Linked DNA regions of Caenorhabditis elegans. The protein of the gene in region 1 purifies or fractionates together with the protein of each later gene. This does not show direct contact. Each region holds a gene or a part of one and is shown on either strand. Other genes may lie near its edges.

Region 1 (3,920 bases):
TTAGAAAATTCGTGATTTTACAGAAAAATTGCATTTTTAACTCTAAAATTGAGATTTTCCGAAGATTTTTGAATTTTTAGTGAAAAAAAACCGAATCGTCGAAAAAAAATTTTCGTAAAAAATCACATTTTTAGCCTAAAATCGTCGTCGAAAAATACCAAGATTTTTTGAATTTTTCAATGAAAAATCCAATTTTTAACATGAAAACCATGAAAATTTGCGATTTTTAGCCCAAAATTGAGATTTTACGTTATTTTTTGGCCTAAAATGGTCCAATTTTAAGTTTTTTGGTGAAAATTTCGTATAAAAAAGCAATTTTTAACCTAAAAAATTCACGATTTCTCTTAAAATCGTCGAAAATTCCGAGTTTTTCGAATTTTTAGTGAAAAAAAGCGTAAAAATTGCTCAAAACCGGCAGTTTACGGCAACATTTTGAAAAATTTCAGGAAAAAAGGAGAAAACTCGCGAATTTTTGAGATTTTTCCGGAAAAATTATAGTTTTTAGCTAAAAATCGTGGAAAAAATCTCAATTTTTAATTTAAAAAAATGATTTTTTTTTCGAACTTTTTTCCCCGTTGAAATTGTAAAATTTAGGCCAAAAAAGGCCATTTTTGGCTTAAAAGTCTCAAATTTTGGCCTAAAATATCGATTTTCAGGCGGAAAAAAAGCGAAAACAGCTTCGAAATGGTCCAAATAATCGGAAAATCGTGATGGCTCGATATTCGAAACGACCGGAAACCGAGGAACGAACAATGATCATTGAAATGCCAAATTTTCAAGAAAAATGACAATTTTTTGGGTTTTTTTGTTAAATTTTTATGGAATTTTTTGAAGAATTAATAAATTTTGTTTTTTTTTTTTAATTTTTTCATCGAAAATGTGCATTTTTCTCTGAAAAATTGGAAATTTAATTTAATTTTCATAAAAATTCAAAAAATCGTAATTCGCGTCGAGACCAGTGTTGAGATTCGAGTGCTGCGCCTTTAAAGAGCACTGTAGTTTTTTTCTTTCGAATTTTGCTGATTTTTCTCAGATTTTATACATTTCTCGGCTATTTTTTTGCCGTTTCAAGGATTTTCCAATTAATTTCAAGTTTTTCAACAAAGATTTAACGTGATTTTCCCTAGATTTGCTTAAGTTTCAGAGATTTTAGCTTTTTCTCTTGATTTTCAGTTAAATCTTCATAAATATTACGTTTTTTCCAATTCTAACATGTTTTTAGCATTTAGTGTTGCTAAAACTTATTTAAATTTTTTGAAAACCTAATTCTCATACAAATTAAATGAAGATTTTCGTGTTAAACAAGTTTCGTGGTGAGACACATGGCACAACTTTGCTGTATGCGCCTTTAAATGGCTACTGTACCGGAATTAATATTTTTCACCGGAAAAATCGATATTTTCATTGCAAAAAACTGAATTTCCCCCGCGAAAAAGTCAATAAAGATTACACTTTTTACCATTTGGCTTCTCATACGGCTTCTGAAAAGTATAAAAACTCGTTTTTCGGCTTAAATTTCGCCGAATTCCGTGAAAACACCATATTTGACGCGCAAACTTTGCGACATTTATCGCCGCTTTTTTACCGGTTTTTTCGCCGAAATTTCGCAATTTTTCAGTCATTTTCTTCCAATTTCACACGAAAAATCGATTTTCAGCGGGTTTTCTGTCAATTTCAAATGAAAAATGAACTCATCCGGACTTCAATTCACAAGTATGACGGAGCTTCTTGCCACATGCTCACTTACAGAGCAGCAAACACGACAATTTGAGCAAAAATCGCTTGATGTGTATGTTTTTAGCGTGGAAATTCGGAAAAATCGATTAAAATCATCGAAAACTGGGAAAAATCGATTTTCCAGTGGAAAAATTGAAAATCTTTAGGTTTTTCACTTTAAAATCTTAAAATATAGTGCAAAACTCGAAATTTTACGTAGAAAACTCGAAAAAATTCCGAATTTTATGATAAATTCAGTAAAAAACTCGAAAAATTGAGAAAATCCCAGTTTTAACAGAAAAAAATCGAAAAAACCCCAAATTTCCAAATTTTCAGAGTATATCAATCTTTGAAAAATTTGCAAGGATCTGCTGAAAAAGCCCGTGGAGATTTGGAGCAACAATACCGATTATTGATGAAAGCCGGTGAACTCGGAAATATTATCACGAAAAGCTCGAAATTTGCGAGATGGAAGCAAAATGTTCGTGTGAAAATGGAAAAATGGCGAAAAAAACGTGTATTTCGGCTGGAAAATCGAAAAAAAAACGCAAAATTTCATCCAAAATTCAATTTTTTTTCCACTAAAAACAGTCAAAAAATCAGATTAATTGCATTTTTTCGATGAAAAACATGAAAAATATATGAAAAATGGCTGAAAATCAGTTTTTAAAGCTGAAAAGTTGAAAAATGGCTGAAAAAACGAGAATTTTGCGGAAAAAAATCGACCAAAACCAAAAAACCCATGAAAATGTGAAAATTTCGTTAAAAATTCAATTTTTTAGCCGAAATATCAGCGAAAACCCAGAAATTTCAAGATTTTGAAGCTTTTAGCCCAAAATTTCCAAAAAAAACTCCATTAAAAATCGAAATTTTAAAGAATTTTACCGAAAAATCTCAAAAATCTATAAAAATCCTATTTTCAGACAGCAAATGCGGCACTTTTCTATGCGGATTTCGAGAAAGTCGTTCGAGAAGCTTCAAATTTGCAATCTGTGCTGAATATTGTACGTTTTTTCATAAAAAATGGAAAAAAAAAATTAATAAAACTCGATTTTTTCAGGAAAAAACGCAAAAAAAAAATCGATTTTCTCCTGAAAATTCAAAAAAAAACTGTTTTTTCCAAAATAAAAATTCAATAAAAATCTATTTTCACTCTGAAAATCCAAAAAATCAAAAAAATCCTTTTTTTTTCAGAAAAAGCAAAAGAAAAATCGGTTTTACCGTAAAAATTCCGAAAAAATCAATAAAATCGATTTCTTTTTCAGGAAATATTCAAAAAATCGATTTCCCCTTGAAAATTTCAAAAAATTTTTTAAAAAAATCGATTTTTACCCCAAAAATCCCGAAAAAACCAATAAAAATAAATTTTTTAAAGAAAAAAACGCAAAAAATCGACAAAAAACGATTTTCTCCTCATTTCTTTAAAAATTAAATTTTTTTTTCGAAAAATCGTTAAAAATTGATGATTATCGATTTTTCATCGATTTTCATCCTAAACCCCCAGAAAAATCAATAATTTCTTTTTCAGAAATACGAAAATCTGGTCCGACGTGCTGACACACAAAAACGTGCCGAACAAGAGGCTGCGGATAAACGTGCGGCGACGATTACTGTAGATTCGACGATGCGGGCGGTTCGGGCAAAGATCACACCGCGGGAACTTGTACGAAAAGTGGAAAATGATACGCCAAAGAAAAGCGCACTGATTTTTGATATTCGGTACTATTTTTAAATTTTTTAAACATTTTTTTTTCGGTGAAAACCCCCATTTTTCCTTAAAAATTCGAAATTTTAGTGGAAATGCGCTCTATTGCTAATAGGAGGTACGAATTTCGGTATTCCCCCCACTTTGTAATTGTTTCTGAAAAAGCCATCGACTTTAAAGGGACATGATCTACCCCCATGTCCCTTTAAAGTAGGTGAGCCCCAGCACAAATACACTGTGGAAAATACCAGAAATTGTACCTACTATTCTCAATGGGGCGCATTTGCCACCGGGGATGCGGAAGCTATGCCCAAATTTTCAATTTTCTCAGAAACTTGTGAAACATCTGAAAATTTTCAACTTTTTTTTCAGCCAAAACCAATCGGACGCGATTTTCTACAACCGAAGCGAGATGATCACAGTGATTCAGGTGCCATACGACATGATAGACAGCTCGTAAGCATTTGGATAGTTTTTGGCGCCAAAACTGATCTCCACC
Region 2 (3,920 bases), on another chromosome or scaffold:
GCCAACTGCTCCTCGATCTGCTTGTTGACCTTGCGTGCTTCTCGGCCTTCGGCATCAGCGCCAGCGCCGACGCACCCCATAAGGCGCATCTTGACGCGGTGGCGACGGCTCTTCTTCCGATCGGTGGTGGTTGCGCAGTGGTTTCAGCAAGTACAGTAGTAGTGAAACGTTTGAAAGGCGGTGGTGAACGGTAACGAATTAGCGGAATAGTCAACGGCGACGTGGTGAGCAGGGCAACTCACGGCGTGTGTAGGCAAAATGGAAAAGACAGAAAGAAGTGTGTGGGGGGAAGACGGAGAAGAAGAAGAAGAAGAAAAAAGAATAGAGAATTTGGAATTTGGAAGTTACTGGCCGATGTGATGGGAGAGGGTGGTTGGGGATCGAACGTTCGCAATCGGATCAGACGCACGTCGAATCGTGTTCGAGGCGCGTTGCCGTTGTCGTCGTCGCCGTCTTCGTCTTCTTCGTGTATCGGACAGCGGCCACAGACAAGTATGCAAACGACGAGAGAGAGGCGAAAGCAGCAGAGAGGGACAAACACACAAACACACTCACTCACTCACTCTCTCTCTCTCTCACAGTGTGTGTGTGTGTGTATTTTGTGAGTGCTAGTTGCCAGGCTCCTTTCCAACGGGCGGTCTCCTCAATCGAAATGCTCCCTCGCGTCGTGTCGTCTAAACTGCGTGTCGCACCAAACGCGACCGCCGGACCAACACACACGGCCGGCCGCCCCGTCGACAGCTCTTGTCCGGCACCGGCCTGCCGCCCTCCGGCTTCTTTGTGCTCTTTTCGTCGGCTTTATCGTCTGTTTCTCTTGTCGCGCCAGCGGGGCACACATACACACTTTTCGCCTCACTGGCATCCTCGATTTCTCAGGCTGTTGAGAGGGAAAGAGAGGGGGGGACTGCACACGCGTCGCGCTTCTCTCAACTCTCGTGCGTCGCGGCGGCGACGGCGGCGGCGGCGGCCCCACTGCACCCGCCAATTCAAACTCGGGTTTCAGTGCAGTGTTGGGGAGCTGCGAGCGGTAGCGACAGTGTGCGCCTTTAAAAAGTACTGTAGTTTTGAACTTTTCCATGCGCTTCTGGATTCCCTCGCATTTTTAAGTGGAAGAGTTTGCCAGACTAGGCCATTTTGTCTCGGCCACGGTTGGGGTAGATTTACGGCGCGTTGTGTGTCGCGTCGCGGCTCGGCTCGATTTTCATTGTGAAACAAAATTTATTTGTCCGTGTGGAGTACACAACTTTCCCACGCGTTGTCCGGCAGGTGATTGTCAATGGGGCGCAAAAAATTGCAATGACGAATACCAGAATCCCGTGTTTTTGCTCACGATTCATATTATTTTATTCTAGTTTTTTGAAAAATCTGAGAATTCTGGAAAAAAATTTGAAATGACAGTACTCTTTGAAGGCGCTAAATTTGATTTGTCGTGTCAAGACCAGGAAATTGCTGCCGTCAACTGAACGAATTGATTTTGTGAAAAATATTCCCATTTTGATAATAAATATATTTTTTTTTTGAAGAAAATCATATTTTGCAAACTACTGCTTATTGCGTAGAGCATGTTTTTAAAACGAAAAAAGATCAAATACCGTATCCCTCATTTAAAGGCGCATGGGCTATTCATTCTCCAGCTTTAGTTATTTCAGGTCTAGAAATAAATGCTGAAGCATCTCTTGCAACGAAATCTGAATTTTCACAGTCTTTACATATATATATATTTTTAAATAATAAATGAATATCGATATGATCACGGGTTTTCAGGTTTTTAATTGAATTTTAACTGAATTGTTGTAGATTTCTAATTATTTTGTTTTGTAAACTATGGAATCGTCTCTGAATTCGGTAAATTTGCAGGAAAAAAATCTAAATTCAAACTTCCCTCCAAAATTCGTCGCGAATCACGTCAGCGTCGGGAAACGCGTCAGCAACCACCAGCTGGCGCGCTTCTCGTTTTGCGCTTAAAAAGCGTGACTCAGTTTTCAATGATTTCACAATCATTAAAAGCGAGAAATATCGCGAAAACCTGCTTATAAACTTGATTTTTTGATGCTGATTAGCTAGAATTTTGTTAAAATATCGATTTTCTAAAGTTTAGGGCTGAAAAATTCACTTTTTGACTCCCATCTTGTTGCTCCATCGATTTTCGTAAAATTGCTGACTTTTCGTATTTCAGCGTCCACCGCTCACTTATCGCCAGGAAAAAATGTCGGTTCCGGCACTTCAGGTAGAGTTTTTAGAGTTTTTTGTTTAAAAAATTGAAAAATAAAACATTTTTTAATTTTTTAAAAATTTTTTTAATTCCAGAAGGCCATAGAATTGGTGACAAAAGCCACCGAGGAGGATACAGCCGGCAGATACGACCAAGCGCTGAGATTATACGATCAGGCCATTGAATACTTCCTTCATGCGATAAAATGTTGGTTTTTGAGCGGAATTTTCCGGGTTTTTTCCGTTTTTTCCGTTGAAAAAAATAAAAAATATGTTAATTTTCAATTATTTTTAAATTTTCAGACGAGTCACAAGGCGATAAACAGCGTAATGCGATTCGTGACAAAGTCGGGCAGTATTTGAATCGCGCCGAGCAGATCAAAACCCATCTGAAAGACGGAAAAACGCAGAAAAAGCCGGTGAAAGACGGGAAAGACGATTCCGACGAGGATGAGGACAAGAAAAAGTTTCAGGTAATCAAATTTTAATGGAAATTATCACCGAATTCAGCCCATCAGCCCAAAAATCGCAATTTTCAGGACAAACTGTCGGGCGCAATTGTGATGGAGAAGCCGAATGTCAAGTGGACCGATATTGCAGGACTTGAGGGAGCGAAAGAGGCGCTCAAGGAGGCCGTCATTCTTCCAATCAAATTTCCACAGCTTTTCACTGGTGAGAATCGTGGAATTTTGGCGAAAAATAATTTAAAAAATGCAGCTTTCCGCTGGAAAATCGATAAATTCAGTGATTTTTGCGGATTTTTGGTGAAAATTTGGGTTAATTTTCAATTTTCTCCCCAAAAAAAAAAAAACGATTTTTTAAATAAAATTCGGAAGAAATTGCAGTTTTTCAGGTTTTTGCCGATTTCCTTGCCTAAAAATCGATAAATTAGGCGGTTTTTCGGAGAAAATTCGGAAATTTCACTGGTTCCCGCAAAAAATCTCCAGTTTTAGTAAAATTTTGCAAAATTTCACCTGAAAATTTGCAAAAATCCCCCCCAGTTAACCGATTTTCCGCCAAAAAACTGCGAATTTTCCCCGGAAAATTAGCGAAAACCTCCGAAATGTCTATTTTTATAACAAAATTGAAGGAGAATGGATTTTTGAAAAAAAAACAATTATTACATATTCGGAAAAAAAACCTCCCGATGGGTCTCGCCAAGAAAAAAATGCATGCGTCTTTAATTTGGAGTTTCACGTGTCCCATTACGGTTTGATCTACAAAAAATGCGGGAATTTTTCGTCCTGAAAATGACGTGTCAGCAATATGCGAAATCAGTTGAGAACTCTGCGTCGCTTCTCTCCCGCATTTTTCGTAGATCGCCGTAGATCAAGCGGAAATGGATCTCTGGCTTCCCTCATAAACTGAAATGGAAGAGTTTTTGCCGAACTAGGCCATTTTGGCTCGGCCATATCTGGGGTAGATTTACGGCGCGTTGCGTGTCGCGTCGCGGCTCGATTTTAGCGCGAAAAATTCAACGAGGAAGGCCAGAACCCCGTGAGAAAAATTGAAAATTTTGACCTCAATTTCAGAAAAACGTACTTTTTTTTTGAAAAATCTGAAATATATATACGATTTATTTTGCAATACAACATTCGCGGAAATTTCAAAAATTGAAAAAATGACACTATACAAAAGACTATCGGGAAGTACGTGGTGTCAGGTAGTCTCATTGCGGTTTGATCTACAAAAAATGCGGGAATTTTTCG

What was found.
Region 2: the proteins of usp-50 (region 1) and vps-4 fractionate together in Caenorhabditis elegans (co-fractionation; one large-scale study listed by BioGRID). This does not show direct contact.

What each region holds. Positions count from the first base shown.
Region 1 is NC_003283.11:17,923,328-17,927,247, forward strand, and holds the start of usp-50 (ubiquitinyl hydrolase 1), read left to right. Parts: upstream 1-1,657; 5' UTR 1,658-1,685; coding exon 1,686-1,789; intron 1,790-2,052; coding exon 2,053-2,197; intron 2,198-2,639; coding exon 2,640-2,720; intron 2,721-3,244; coding exon 3,245-3,435; intron 3,436-3,793; coding exon 3,794-3,877; intron 3,878-3,920. Other genes in the region: E01B7.2 (uncharacterized protein), read left to right, coding at 657-788.
Region 2 is NC_003279.8:1,065,156-1,069,075, reverse strand, and holds the start of vps-4 (vesicle-fusing ATPase), read left to right. Parts: upstream 1-2,176; 5' UTR 2,177-2,206; coding exon 2,207-2,227; intron 2,228-2,307; coding exon 2,308-2,419; intron 2,420-2,514; coding exon 2,515-2,684; intron 2,685-2,750; coding exon 2,751-2,883; intron 2,884-3,778; exon of another isoform or gene 3,779-3,920. Other genes in the region: gsa-1 (Guanine nucleotide-binding protein G(s) subunit alpha), read right to left, coding at 1-89.